2 linked regions of the Sus scrofa genome follow. The protein of the gene in region 2 interacts with the protein of the main gene of each other region in a pairwise test. Links are inferred from orthologs where the notes say so. Each region holds a gene or a part of one and is shown on either strand. Other genes may lie near its edges.

Region 1 (7,502 bases), on a different chromosome or scaffold from region 2:
AGCAAGTGCAAAAGCCCTGCAGGGAGCTGAGTGGGGAGGGGAGAATGAGATTAAAGTGGGTAAGTCAGGAGCAAGATTGTCAGGCTTTGCCTGCCTCGGTGAAGTCGGGGTTTTATTTTGAGTGTGAGAAGTCACCAGTTTCAAGTTGGAGGAAGACATGATCCAGTGGGCATCCACATTGAGACGGGGACCTCACGCGCCTTCTTGAGATGCCCTTGACCAGCTGCTCTCTCTCCAGGCTGGAGACTGCCCCTCTCCAGACCGCCCCACCTGTTCGTGGTAAGTGACTTGTTTTTAGACTTAGATGCGATGCTCAGGAGGAGGACCTGCCTTTAAGCCAGAAAGCAAGGGCAAAAATCCCCTTCCTCTCCCTGCTTGTGGACTACACTCAGGTTCCTCCTCGCACGCCTTCCAGAAAAGTCCCTAATGCTGTGTACATACCTGCTGCCTTGTCTTTGAAGGTCTTTGTGGCCGCCTAGCCAGTGCAACAGTCTGTCACAGGGTGTTTTCCCTGGCCTCGCTCCCTCCCTCTCAGCAGCCTGGCTCACATCTCCTAAATAAATCATCAGAACCACTCTAGCCTAGGTTCTGCTTCCTAGCCAACAGTTTTCTAGAAAGATCTGCTTTTAGTAACATGGGGTCTCTGGGCATTTCTCTCTCCTCTGGGCCTCAGCAGCACATTTTCTACAATGAAAGTGTTGACTTTTAAGTGTCAGAGAGCCCTAGCCTTTGACATGTAACCCATGGGCCCGTTTTGCCCTCCTGTGTCCACCAATGTGGCTGAGGTGTCTAAATCTATCACGAAGCAACAAATACAATAGTTAAGAAGTCTCTGGAGGGAGACTGAACTTGAGTTCTAGTTCCTTGCTCCTTCCTAGCTATGCGACCCTGAGCAAGTGACCTGGCCTCTCACCTCAGGCTCCTCCCATGGAAAACATGGCAACAGGATCTTTTTTTTTTTTTTTTTTTTTTTTTTTGTCTTTTTGCCTTTTCTTGAGCCACTCCCCAGTGGCATATGGAGGTTCCCAGGCTAGGGGTCGAATTGGAGCAGTAGCCACCCGCCTACACCAGAGCCACAGCAACACCAGATCCAAGCCGCGTGTGCGACCTACGCCACAGCTCACGGCAACTCCAGATCCTTAACCCACTGAGCCAGGCCAGGGATCAAACCTGCAACCTCATGGTTCCTAGTCAGATTTGTTAACCACTGAGCCACAACGGGAACTCCAGGATCTATTTCGTATCCCTGCTCCAACTCTGACAGGGCAGAGATGCAGGAGTCTAGGGAACTTACCAGGTCCCTCCCACTGACCCACTAAAGTTTAGAAACTTTAGGCAACACCACCCCTTCCAAAATACTTTTATTAAAAAAAAAAAAATTACAATCAGAAAACAAAACAAAAAAACCCACCACAAAACCTGCCTTTCTATTAAATAATGCGGCATGGAGCAGTTTGGTTTCCACCCTATTGCACGTGGTCCGGCCTGGTCATGAATCAGGAGGCTGCTGGGACTGGGGTCCTATGAAGGAGGTGGGGTTCAGCCTGGGGAGGAGGCCAGCCCCTCCCATTCCCTAGAGGTGCAAGAGGCAGAAGCTGGGTTTCCATAGCAACCAGGCAGCACCTCCCTGTCATCCTTTGACAGGCCCAGCTTATCTTCCCTGAGGCCCCAGGGGACACGAGGGGAGTAGGAACTGGAGGGAAAGGCAGAAGAAATGTGGACGTGGGAAATCAGACTCCCAGAAACAGAGTCTCATTAAGGCATTTGCAACAGATAAATTAATTCAGGAAGACCCACCTTCACAGAAGGCTGCGATAACCAGACACACACACACATGCAAGACAGTTTGTGGAACCCTGAAATGGGAGCAAAGGAGGCCACAGTTACTGCTTAAAGCCTCCATATAAACACACACACACAGAGTTGCATCCAGGGATTTCAGCCCACCAAGGCTGAGATGGGGAAGGAGCGCCCCCTCCCCATCAAAGTTTTAGGATCCCAGAATGATTTCCATGATGTGATCTAGTTCATTCCACTCCCAGGAACCTGGGGCACAGAAGAGGTTGTGAGGAGGCTCGGGTGGGGTCAGTGCAGGCTCCTTCTCCACTGCCGATGTGTCAATGTCCAGGAAGAAGTCATCCAGGCCGGAGTCCCCTAGGTACCGGGAGCTCAGAGCTTCTAAGAAGACCGGATCGGGCTGGGGCAATACTTCATTCTGGGGACCTGGGGGAGCCACTGGATTGGGAGGGGGCTCAGTCTCATCCATGGAGGTCTCCAGCTCCCTGAGAATAGAGCCGATGGTGGTCGACAGGGAGAAGTCCTCCTCGCCCAGGAAGAGGGGCTCGGGGGGCAGGGCAGGTGCAGGCGTCAGGCAAAGCGCTGCTTGGAGTTGTTGGAGGGTGTTGTGGATGAGGACATGCCTTCGAAGGCTGGGTGCTCGGGGGCCCAGGCTTCGCTGGACTTTGTCTAGGGAGATGCGGAGCAGGGCTTGCTGGTAGCTCCGAAGGCCTGTGGGACTCCAGTCCCACTTCTCATCCTCTTCTTCCTCCTCCAAATCTGAGTGTTTCCTCTTCAAGCCTACCATGATGCCCTGTGGTAAGAAGAGGGGCAAGTGAGACACAGCAGGGTTAGTTCAAATCCTGAATCTCCTGTATGGCTGTTGATTTTTAATGGCCCAAATAAATCTCACAAGGCTAAGGAAGAGAGTATATGTATGTGATTAACAAAACAAGATCTGGACGCAAGACACAGCTGGGTTTGAATCCCACTTACTGGCCCATGTGGCCTCCAGTAGTGAATTTACTTCCTTGAGACTCAATTTCCTCATCTACAAGGAATCTTAATTCAAGTTCTGGAGTCTTAAGGCTGTTCTTTCACAATACTCTTATTTTCAAACACGACACACACAAGACAGATACTGAGTACAGACACCTGGCCTGCAAGTAGAGATTCCTAGGGTTGACTTCTGCCTTTCACACTGCTCAGCTGTGAGATCTTGGGAAGTGATACTACACGCACAATGAACAAGAGTTCATTGCCAGTTATTTATTGAAAAAAAATTTCTTTTTAGGCCGGCACCCTGTGGCATATAGAAGTTCCCAGGCTATAGGTCAAAATCGGAGCTTCAGCTGCTGGCCTACACCACAGCCACGCCAGATCCTAGCCACATCTGTGACCTACACCGCAGCTCACGGAAACGCCTGATCGTTAACCCACTGAGCAAAGCCAGGGATTGAACACCAGTCTCATGGATACTAGCTGGGTTCCTTACCGTCCAGTCACAACGGGAATTCCTCATTCAATATTTTTATTTGAGGAGTTCCCGACGAATCCGACTAGGAATCATGAGATTGCAGGTTCGATCCCTGGCCTTGCTCATTGGGTTAGGGATCCAGCATTGCCTTGAGCTGTGGTGTAGGTCGCAGACAAGGCTTGGATCTGGCGTGGCTGTGGCGAAGGCCGGCGGCTATAGCTCGGATTAGACCTCTAGCCTGGGAACCTCCACATGCCGCGGGTGCGGTCCTAGAAAAGACAAAAATATATATATTTCTTTAATTTGAAAACAAAATGAAACAAAAAATAAAATACAGGTCCACAATCACTTAAAAAATTTTTTTTTTGAATGTCTACTATATTCTAGCCACCTGGAACCCTGATAGGGAACCTATCTGTGGAGACTCTTCTTTTACAGAGAACAAATATTTTTCCTGACTGGGAGCTCTCGCAACAACAGTGAAAATACCTCCCTCACTCCCTCTGTGGTTGCCTTCAGGTTTCTCCAGCATGAGTCCGGTAGGAAAACTCGCCAGAACATTACTCACGCCAAGCCCCGCCCCCGACCAGCCCATCCAACCAGGCCCCCGCTCTCTACAGGCCCCGCCCCCTCGACGAAGTTCGAGTTCGGAACCCAGACACGCCCCAACTTGGTCCTTGGGGCTTATGGGAAATGTGGGCCAATAGCCTCCAGGTACACGTACTGACGTTGAACGCGCACTACAACCCCCGGAGGGCTCAGCAAGCCGCAGGGACGCACCTTCCCCGCCTTCCCTTAGGGCATGCGCAAAGCGGCCCGTGGTGGGTGGGGGAAGGGAACCCGGACGTCCAGCTGCCCGGCGCCCGCCGAGCCCCGCCCTCCGCTGCCTTCAGGGCTGCGGGTCTGAGCTCCACGCCCGAAACACCCCTCCCCCACCCGACTCCGATTCTAAACTGCTTTCTACCGGTCCTGCGGACCGTAGAAAGTCCCAAATTCTTCCATCAAACTACTCTCGGGTCCAGAGACCCAGGCCCCAACACATCGCTCAAAGACTTACAAATGCTCTCCGATGCGCTCTGTTCGGGCCGCTAGGTATCTGAATTTTGAGACCCTCCCCGTCAACTTTCCCCTATTCTCCGGTCTTTCAAATGCTTCTCAACCTCATCTCCGACTCCCCCTCCGGCTCCAAGACCTGACTGGGAACTCTCCTCTCCCCAGGACCCCTCTCCACCACTGCGTCTAGGAGATCGAGTCCTTGCCCCTATTTCTTTCGCTTCTCCAAATGCTCGGGATCACAGCGCAACGCCTCAAACTTTTTCCTGAACAGTAGTGCCCGACTTTAACTCGTCCCGGAGACCTGAATTATCCCAATCTTCAGATTTCCTGCCCCCAAAAGTTCCTTCCCTAGTTCTCTCGCTTCCCAAACACCCCGTGTCCCAGCTTCAGACTCCCTCCACTTGAAGACCCTGTCCCCAAAACTTCGCCTTCCTTTCAGGATCTCGAAACTCAGTCTCTCCAAACCTGCGCCCCCTACTCCCACCCATACCCCGCCTCCACAACTCTCCGGAGCGCCTCCACTTCCCTCAACCCAAGGCGGATCCCAAGCCAGGCAGCCACACCTCACCTCAACTGCCAGGTTCGCAACAACTACCTCCGGGAACGCCCGCGGCTTTGCGACCCTCCTTTGCGAGTGCTGGGTAGGGGCCGCGCTCACCACCCCGGGGCCTCTCGGTCTGGCCTCAGGCCCACCCAGCTCCGCCCGGAGCCGAGCCGCGAACCATGATTGGCTGGAGTCCTGCCCACCGCAGGGCGCGGATTGGCTAGGCGGAGCTACCGCCTGTCGCCTGGAGACGCCGGACCCGCCTTCCCCTCCTTCGCTCCGCGGACCTTTTAAAGGATTCTGACTTGCCGGGAGGCAGGGCCACCTCTCTAGGGTGGATGTTGCACCAAAACTGTTTCTTTCAACTCGGCTACTGTCCTCGCTCCAAGACCGTCTTCATTGCTCTCTGCGACCCCTTTATACCAAGCCTGGACCCAGTCGCGGAGGAAGATTGACAGGCACGCCCGGCCCCACCCCGCTTACCGGGAGGACCCCGCTGCGCCTCTCACGAAGGCCGCGCCCCTAGCTTTGGAGGGCGGACCCTGCGGAGGAGGAGGATGACGCACCGAAGGCCAGCCAATAGTTTGGTGCGGCCTGTGTTGCCTGGGAGATCTTAGCCCTTCCTCCCTCAGGATGGCACCCCTGCTGCGGGAAACTCGCTCTTGGCTCCCCACTGTCGTGGGGACAAAGTCCAAACTACTTTTTTTTTTTTTTTTTTTTTTTGCCTTAAAGCCCTTCAGGTCTGGCTTGATGCACTCTCCCTTGCTCTCTACAATCCTGCCGCACCGACTGACTCACTCTTTCTAAAATGGCTCCACCGCCGTGAACAGAGATTCGGTTTTCTTCCCTGCCTTATCTTCAGTGCCTACAACAATGCCAGGTTCGTATCAAGTTCTCGAAAATGAGGGGGGAAAAAAAAAGACCTCTGGCACAACATTGTAAGTCAAAATCAAGGATACTTTTAAAAAGACCTCTGGATCTTGAAACTTTTTCCCATCCTGAAAATACGCCCTCAATTCCCAGGCTGCCTCTTGAGTCAGAACTCTTCTCAAAGTTTTCCTCTCAGTTCTGAGGCTCCAGGGATGGTCCAGACCCATTCTGGCCTCCCACAGGGTCCTGTGCTTCCCTCATCGCGACCCTGACTCCTTTGCCTGAGTCTCCCCGACCTTGGCCCTGGCCGTCACTGGATTGTGGGCCTCCTGGGGACACGTACCAATGTTATCTCACTGCTTGGTCCCCAGCATCACCTAGCACAGGGCCGGACACAAGGCAGGCGCCCAGTGAAAGAAAGTTTGTTAAATGCAGACACTGTAACAGAAGAAATAAAGCGGGAGGAAATGAGTGCGGCCGGTGCCCAGAAAGCCTGAACCAGCCCTGCCCCACCCCCACAACACGTTCCCGCCCACGGGAGGAGAGAGTTTTCTCCAGGCCGCTCCGGAGAAGGAAGGTTTAAGGCTCTTTGGACCAGTCCTCGCCGGTTGGAATTTGTCAGTCATGTAGTCCAGCTGTGTGGAGAAGAGTATAGGATGGGAATGGATTTGGGGTTGGGGGAGAGCTTTGGGGGTTAGGTAAGCGAGGAGTGGTTTGCTCAGTCCTGGGAAAGGTGTCTCTGGGGGACAAAGGTGGGGGAGAGTAGATTCCAAGAAGGGACATGATTAGGAAGAGGCAGTTCTTCCCCTCCCCGTGCCGAATCAGCCCCTTCAGGCTTCCTGTCTCAGGGTGGCCCTACTGCAACCCCACTTTCAGGATTCAGTCCTAGGTTTCCTTCTGGTGCCTCCCTCCCCTCCCAACTGTCCACTCAGGCTCCCGCCCACTCTCCCTCTCTTCCTCAAGGTCCCAGGACACCCTCTGGGTTCCCAGTCTCTACTTCTGCACCCTCCCATCCACCCGCACACAGTAGCCCAGGGAAGCTTCATAAAACACAAACCCGGAGTTCCTGTCGTGCGGCTCACCAGTAATGAACCCAACTAGTATCCATGAGGATGTAGGTTCAATCCCTGGCCTCTTGCTCAGTGGGTGAAGGATCTGGCTTTGCTGTGGCTGTGGTGTAGGATGGCAGCTGCAGCTTGGGCTCAGCCCGTAGCCTGGGACCTTCCATATGCCGTGGGTGCGGCCCTAAACAAGCAAACAAACCTGAGTGTGATCCCCCCTCCCCACCTCTCCCTTGCTCCACTCTTTGCATAAAAACTTAGACTAAAGCTCAAACTTTTACAAGGACCCTGGCCGGTTTAGCACCATAGAACAGCCTCTTGGGGTTGATCGCTCCTCCCCTCTGACCAAAGTATTAACTGTAGGGGATGGGCTTTAGTTCTTCAAAGGGGCCATGTGCTCATGTGGCCTCTTCTGCCTGGAACGCCATCACGCCTTAGAACCTTCCCTTGGCTCATTCTCACTAAACCAGGTTTCAGGTGGGACAGCTCATCTTCCACAGAACCTTCCTCAAGCTGGGTCCCTCGGCTCTCTCTGCTTCCTCCATCAGAGCCCTGGCCACTCACTCTGTGTTGTCACTGTCAGGGGCAGGGCTGTCTTCCACGTTGGACAGTGAGATCCATGAAGACAGGGTCCCCACTGTCTTCACTGGTTCCCCAGCACAGGGCCAGGTGAGGAAACAAATGGATGAATGCCCAGAAAATCTTTTTTCTCTTTTTT
Region 2 (7,548 bases):
ATCTGCAATCTACACCACAGCTTGTGGCAATGCCAGATCCTTAACCCACTGAGAAGGCCAGGGATCGAAACTGCAACCTCATGGTTCCCAGTCAGATTTGTTAACCAGAGCCACGACGGGAACTCCAAAAAGATTTTTTTGCCACAAGCGAAGTGTCAGCAGTTTTTACTTTGATATTTGACTAAAATTGTTACCTTCCCCCTTTACTTACCACAACTAATACAGTTATCAGAAGATAATTCATTAAAAGATTAATTCATTGCAATCTTGAGATTTAAAATTGCTAGGTGCTAAAAAAATGTAGTGCATTAATACATAAATTTAGACATTATCATTTTGTGAAAGAGGGAAAGGTGGGTGGCTATGTAGGGTTTTACCACAACTTTTAAAAACCTAACCTAACTTTTAAAAACACTTTGTGGCTCAGCAGTTAACAAACCTGACTAGTATCCATGAGCTGTGGTGCAGGTTGCAGATGCGGCTGGGATCTGGCGTTGCTGTGGTTGTGGTGTAGCTACAATTCAACCCCTGGCCTGGGAACTTCCAAAGGATATGGGCGAAGCCCTAAAAAATTAAAAAAAAAAAACCCAGGAGTTCCCGTCATGGCTCAGTGGTTAACGAATCCGACTAGGAACCATGAGGTTGCGGGTTCGGTCCCTGCCCTTGCTCAGTGGGTTAACGATCCGGCGTTGCCGTGAGCTGTGGTGTAGGTTGCAGACTCGGCTCGGATCCCGCGTTGCTGCGCCTCTGGCGTAGGCTGGCGGCTACAGCTCCGATTAGACCCCTAGCCTGGTAACCTCCATATGCCGCAACAAGAACAACAACAACAAAACAAGAAATAGCAACAACAACAACAAAAGACAAAAAAAAAAAAAAAAAATTAAAAAAAAAACAAACAAACCTAGCTGAGTATAAAAACTCAAAGATATAAGATTTTATCCAGTTAAAGTTAATAAAAACAAATGCCTGTCTAAATTTTAACTCCAAGGAAATTAGCATGTTACGAATTTTATCTAAAATATAAAAATGTATTTTTGGAAATCAGCTGGCTCCTGTCCGTTACTTCAGTCGTGCCTCTACACCAGCAAATCCAGACCTTATACTGTGATCCAAGTGTATTATGTTATCACACCAGCCCCTTTAAAGCCATAAAACTCCACCTACCTTAAAACAAACATCTAGGACATCCAGGATGGCTTCCACTCTTGCTTTTCCCAAGTTAAAGCCTTTTGGATCCAGCAACCAAGGGACTTCCTTGGGGGGAAAGAGAGGGGAAATGGGGAGTCCAGCAAAGGTAGGCGGGGAAGGCGGACAGGCTGCAGATCTAGTCCGGTCACTTCTCTCCTCCCTCCACTTAATGAGAGCATTTGTACAGAAAAAGCCGAGAAAATGACCAGCGCTCCAAACAAGGTGCCCCGAATTTCTAGGAGGAACACCTGTAACAGGGTTCATTAGGAACTTGGCTGTGAGAGGTGCTTTAAACAAGCATTAGCCAACATATTCTCTATTTCTGTAAACAAACAAGATGAGCACTATTTGTGGAAGGAACTTTAAAAGCCTGTTATCTACAAAGAGCAAAATGTACTTTTGTCTGTGAACGAACTGGGCTAAGTTCGCTTACCACTACACCCACTGAGAGAGGTAAGTGGAAATTCAGTGCATCGTACAACTGACTTGAAGGAACTCTCTCATTTTTCTGAATACAGTAGCCCTTACAGTCATAAATTACTTTCACCTTGAGTCTTCAGCCCAAATCCCCACCTCTGCCACCACAGCTTTTACCTTCTGTGGGGGAAACAGAGCAGTGAAGACTTGGCTCATCACTTCTCCGCTCATCAAAAAAGCAGAGGCTTACAGTACGTTAAAAATGCAGTTGGTTTCCTGGGGCGCTGGAGTCAATACTCCACCCTCCCCCTGCCACTTCTGCTAATGGCACAGCTACCTCTTCCGAGCAGCAAGTGGCTTTCGCAACCCAGACGGCACAGACAGGGATGAAATTAAAAAACAGAACCTACAGGACTTGAATCCCACTCCTTCCCGACTAAACTTTCCCAGGTGATGCCAACGTGCAGCCTTGAAACCACTTTCAGCCTTGAAGTTTGGGAGGAATGAATTGCACTTGTAGCTCCAGGAAAAAATGAAGATGAAATTTAAGATTTTTATCCCATCTTCCTGGCCAGTAAGACTTATGGAGACACTGGCTGAGGGTTTCTGGGAAATTTTACTCGTTCTCCAGTGAAAACTTCTGAAAAAATTGATAGGTGTGAAATGGATGTGAAGTCTGAAAGCGCCATTGGCCATTTTTACCAACCAAAAGGGGAAGCAGTTTAGAACAAAGCAGAATCAATCAGTGCTCGCTTCGGCAGCACATATACTAAAATGGGAAAGATACAGAGATTAGCATGGCCCCTGCGCAAGGATGACACGCAAATTCGTGAAGCGTTCCATAAAAAAAAAACAAAGCAGAATCAAAAGTGGGCAGGAAGTTATCAAGCCCATATCCTTGATGACATGACAAAATGATGTCTGCAACCAGAACATCTTTGGTAGTCATGGTTCAGTTCCCCCTCATCTATAACCTTTAGGAGCCCCAAACTAGAAAGCAACACATAGGAAATGCAAAGTAAAGAAAAGGGTGGAATTTAATCTTTATTTACAGGACACTGCAAGATATGAAATTCCACATAGAAATAAGAACCCTACTGAGAGTAGAAGCTTCATACAGTATGTACAGTTTGGAACTGTTCAAGTATAGTTTCAGTTGTAAAAAGTGCTACAATAACAAACCACATTTAAAAAGAGCTCTTAGTAGAGAAACAGTAAGACCAACTTTTATCAAACATAGTACGCAACAAACAACTTTATGCCTCAGATGTGCAGTCTAAAAGTTGAAGGTCCCAGTAGCGCTGTCCTGAACTTGGAATGTATATCCTTCAGAGGTAGTTTCTGGCACAACATTTTGATCTTCCTCTTCCTGGAGTATTTAAAAACAAAACAATATAAAATGTTTCTAAGAGGCAGATGCCTACAAGTTTGTATTTACTCTTTTTTCTTCTTTTATCTCTAAGCTGAAAACGAAAACCAGTTTACCCATGTCTCCCACCCCCACTTTTGGCAACCACAAATCTGTTCTTGTGTGCATGTTTCTTTTTGGCCATGGCAATGACTGCAGCATTTGGAAGTTCCTGGGCCAGGGATAGAACCTGCACCACAGAAGCACCAATAGAGGATCCTTAACCTGCTTAGCCACAGGGGAACTCCGTGTGTGTGTTTTTAACATCACACATATAAGAGAGATCACCTGGTGGTATTTGTCTAACTCATTTCACTTAGCATAAATACCTACTAGGTATTCACTCCTAAGGTCCTCATTTGCATATTTCACCTTTAATCCTGCATTGTATCTTTTTTTTTTTCCGTCTCTTGTCTTTTTAGGGCTGCACCCTCGGCATATGGAGGTTCCCAGGCTAGAGGTCTAATCGGAGTTGTTGCCAGCAGCCTACGCCAGAGCCATAGCAATGTCAGATCTGAGCTGCGTCTCTGACCTACACCACAGCTCACGGCAACACCAGATCCTTAACCCACTGGGTGAGGTCAGGGATTGAATCTGAAACCTCATGGTTCCTAGTCGGATTCATTTCCACTGCACCAAGATGGGAACTCCCCCCTTTGTTTTGTCTTTTGTAATCCTGCGCCATATTTTCAATATCTGAAAGAGTGGATGGAAAGCTCTGAAACTTGCCAACTCATGAGTGCCTGGGAGGGAAGTTATGAACAGGTTAAGAAATGCTACTACGGCAACAGAAAAGCAGAGATTTTCTTAACCTGTCACTTCAGAAGGCAGCTTATTAGGCCAGAGGCTCACTTCTCTAACGTCTATACAAACTCACTCTCAAGATAGTCTAAGCTCTCTAAGGCTATTCATTTGAAAGTAAATGGGTGACTTTTTAATACCTCAGTTTAAAAAGATGGTATTATCTTCAAGTCAAACATGAGATGAACAAATATGTATGTTATACCCCACTTGAGACTGATATGATATACTGCTATACTGAACAGCGCTCATCTAAAAAGTATGAGGAAAAATATCTTATGGGCTTAACCTTAAATGTGTATTTTTCCAGTTCTTATTGACATTGCTACTCACCTCCACAGAGAAATACTTCTCAATCAAGTTTAATGAAGCTTTGTACACAGACTCATTTTCATGGTTTTGGAGAGCTTCAATTTTGTCCAGACCTCCACATTCTTCAATCATTATACTAAGTTTCTCAGTTTCACCTAGTTTCTCAGCAGCCTGCAAAAAATTCCAAGTTTAGTAGCCTACACTTTGAAAGACCTTTTTTTTTTTTTTTTTTTTTTTTTTTTTTGGTCTTTTTGTCTTTATAAGGCCGCAACTGCAGCACATGGAGGTTCCCAGGCTAGGGGTCTAATGGAGCTGTAGCCGCCGGCCTACACCACAGCCACAGCAACACCAGATCCTTAACCCACTGAGCAAGGCCAGGGATCGAACCCCAAACCTCATGATTCCTAGTTGGATTCATTTCCACTGTGCCATGACGGGAACTCCCTGAAAGTTCTATTTTAATGAAGAAAACAATTTCTATGTTTTAGTGTCCATGTGTATCAGACAGAAATAAACACGTGAGTTTATTTAACAACCCTATGAGAGAGAACTATCTGCATTTTACCTATGTTTTATATTTTTGAAAAATTCAAGCGAATCAGATTTTGCTTCTTAGCAACTACTTCTGTAGCTTTCAGCCACAAAGATCTTAGTATAGTTCTTAACCTTTTCTGTACATCAAAATCACCCAGGCAACTTTAAAAATGACACTATATCCAGGTTCAGTTGGCCTGTGATGGGAATAGGAAATTACTGTTTTGTAAAGACTCCAGATAATCCCAAGGTGTATGTAGTAAGAGTGGAGAATCACTGTCCAAGGGTAAAGATGGCCTGTGGTTTGTAAAAACAAATTCCTCTGACTGGATCATTTGTTGATACCAAGAGAATGGTACGGTGGTCAGATACTTTTCAAAGTCCTCAACTTTTAGGACATACATAAATATTTACAAGTAAAATAACGTATTTGCTTCAAAATAAAAACTTAAGGTAAGTGTGAGTAGGAAAAGAAGCCAAATGTTGCCGACTTATTTATGTTAGGTAATCATATTCTAAACTCAACTTTGATATGTGAAAATTTCCATAATCAAAGTTGTTGAGTAAGACCTAACCACCATTAAATACTGACAAAGTGCCATGTGCCAGCACATGTGGATCACTCAGGGCTTGAAACCAGAAGAAAAATATAACTGACCGGGTCGTTCGAATTTTTTTTTTTCTTTTTGCCTTTTCTAGGGCTGCACCTGCAGCATATGGAGATTCCCAGGCTAGGGGTCTAATAGGAGCTGTAGCCGCCAGCCTACACCAGAGCCACAGCAACGCAGGATCCGAGCCGCGTCTGTGACCTACACCACAGTTCATGGCAACGATGGATCCTTAGCCCACTGAGCGAGCCAAGGATCAAACCCGCAACCTCGTGGTTCCCAGTTGGATTCGTTAACCACCAAGCCACGACAGGAACTCCTGGTTGGTCAAATTTAATTTCATACTGAATTACAGTATGAAATTGGGGAATCAGGAGTTCCTGTCATGGCACAGCAGAAAACAAATCTGACTAGGAACCATAAGGTTTTGGGTTCAATCCCTGGCCTCACTCAGTGGGTTAAAGATCTGGCGTTGCTGTGAGCTGTGTTGTAGGTCGCAGACGCAGCTTGGATCTGATGTTGCTGTGGCTCTGGTGTAGGCCAGTGGCTACAGCTCTGATTCGACCCCCAGCGTGGCAACCTCCATATGCTGCCAGTGCGGCCCTAAAAAGACAAAAGACCAAAAAAAAAAACCAAAAAACAAAAACTGGGGGATTAAGACATCTTGACAAAATAAACAGATATGAATCGTGTCCACATATGTACCTGACCTCAATTCAGTCACATCATGCATTTGTCATTCCTTTTATATCTCTTATAATCCTTGCCAGGTCTTATTTTATCAAGAGTGTGGCTCATATGAAGAGGCTTTCTGATTCTGTGGCCCACTCAGGAAATTTAGCTGCCTCCACCCCCACCTTGCCATCATCTAAATAGTAAACCAGGGAATTCCCACCATGGCTCAGCGGAAACGAACCTGATTAACATCCATGAGGACAAAGGTTTGATCCCTGGCCTCGCTCAGTGGATTAAGGATCTGGCGTTGCCATGAGCTGTGATGGAGGCTGGCAGCTACAGCTCCAATTCGACCCCTAGCCTAAGAACCTCCATATGCCACCGGTGCGGCCCTAAAAAAAGACCAAAAAACAAAAAAAACCCACCAAACCTCTAGTGTCATCACTTTTGAGGCTAAGCTTTGATCCCTGACCTGTGAATTTCTGCATGCCAAGGGTGTGGCCAAAAAAAAAAAAAAGGCAACTTACCTGAAAGATATTAGAAATGGCATCCAGAATAACCAGGATAATTTTGGTATCTTTTGCAGTTAAGAGGTTCATCAATGGTTCTATTATGCCACAGTGGACAAGGTACACGATCTGTTCAACTGTTCCACCACTTGTGTAATTGGTCACAGCCCATACAGCTTCCTTTTGTGTCTTAAAGTCTGCCTAATAAACACAAGAAAACAGGTGTATTTCAGAATGGGCATAAAAATAAGATTCCAAAAGTACTCTTTTAGAAAAATAGTGACTAAAACTACCATCTGACTATTATTTAGCAAAAGACTATAAGTAGGACCTAACATTAGTACATTAAGAACCTTATGAAGTACAGTTCTACCAAGTGGCCTCTGGAAGCAATCCTTTATGAAGGCCTAAGGCTTCTTACCTTCGAGAGAACGCCAACAAGGAATGGGACCAATCCATGATTTACAACTTGCTGTATCTGGTCCTGGCGACCAGCTGTAATATTTGACATTGTCCACGTAGCCTCCTTCTGAATATTTGTTTTGGAGTTTGTTAGCAGGCTGGGAAAGACGGCGAGTGCTCCTGCATCTATGACAACCTGCGTCTGTTCATCTGTGCCAGTGACAATGTTTCCTATTGCTCTTAGTGCAGGAGTCTGGAAAGGGAAAAATGCTGATGTTGCTGGTTATCCTTCATCGTTTCTACCACTGCTCGAAGTCGCTACACCCTAAAAGTCTGGACAAGAGGCTCATTGTGGCCTAAAATAGGTAGTATGTCAATATTAGTACTGACTGATTATGCTCTTCATACTTTATTTCTCATTTGAAAATTAACTTACCACAATCGGCAGTTCAGTGGCTCCTAAAAGCTTCACAAGTTGGGGTACGACCCCTGTCTTCACAACCATTTCAATCCGTTCATTTGGACCATCGGTAAGGTAGGAAATAGCCCAGCAGGTATCTGCTAAAACTTCTGGATCATCGTGATGTAGGAGACGAACTAAAGTAGGAAGAATTTGCTCAACAGCATCTAAGGGGGGTGCAGGATTCTTGTTGCGACAAAGGTTTGAAAGTGTCCAGGTAAGATTACGTAAGTA

Evidence for each region.
Region 1: the proteins of KPNA2 (region 2) and SERTAD3 interact in binary tests that used the Homo sapiens proteins (3 or more experiments, as listed by UniProt). The two-hybrid records come from large-scale screens. The link is inferred for Sus scrofa from reciprocal best matches to the Homo sapiens genes KPNA2 and SERTAD3.

What each region holds. Positions count from the first base shown.
Region 1 is NC_010448.4:48,707,720-48,715,221, forward strand, and holds SERTAD3 (SERTA domain-containing protein 3), read right to left. Parts: upstream 5,032-7,502; 5' UTR 4,878-5,031; intron 2,591-4,877; 5' UTR 2,585-2,590; coding exon 1,991-2,584; 3' UTR 1,345-1,990; downstream 1-1,344.
Region 2 is NC_010454.4:14,291,826-14,299,373, reverse strand, and holds the end of KPNA2 (importin subunit alpha-1), read right to left. Parts: coding exon 7,291-7,548; intron 7,108-7,290; coding exon 6,874-7,107; intron 6,654-6,873; coding exon 6,471-6,653; intron 4,298-6,470; coding exon 4,148-4,297; intron 2,975-4,147; coding exon 2,882-2,974; 3' UTR 2,625-2,881; downstream 1-2,624.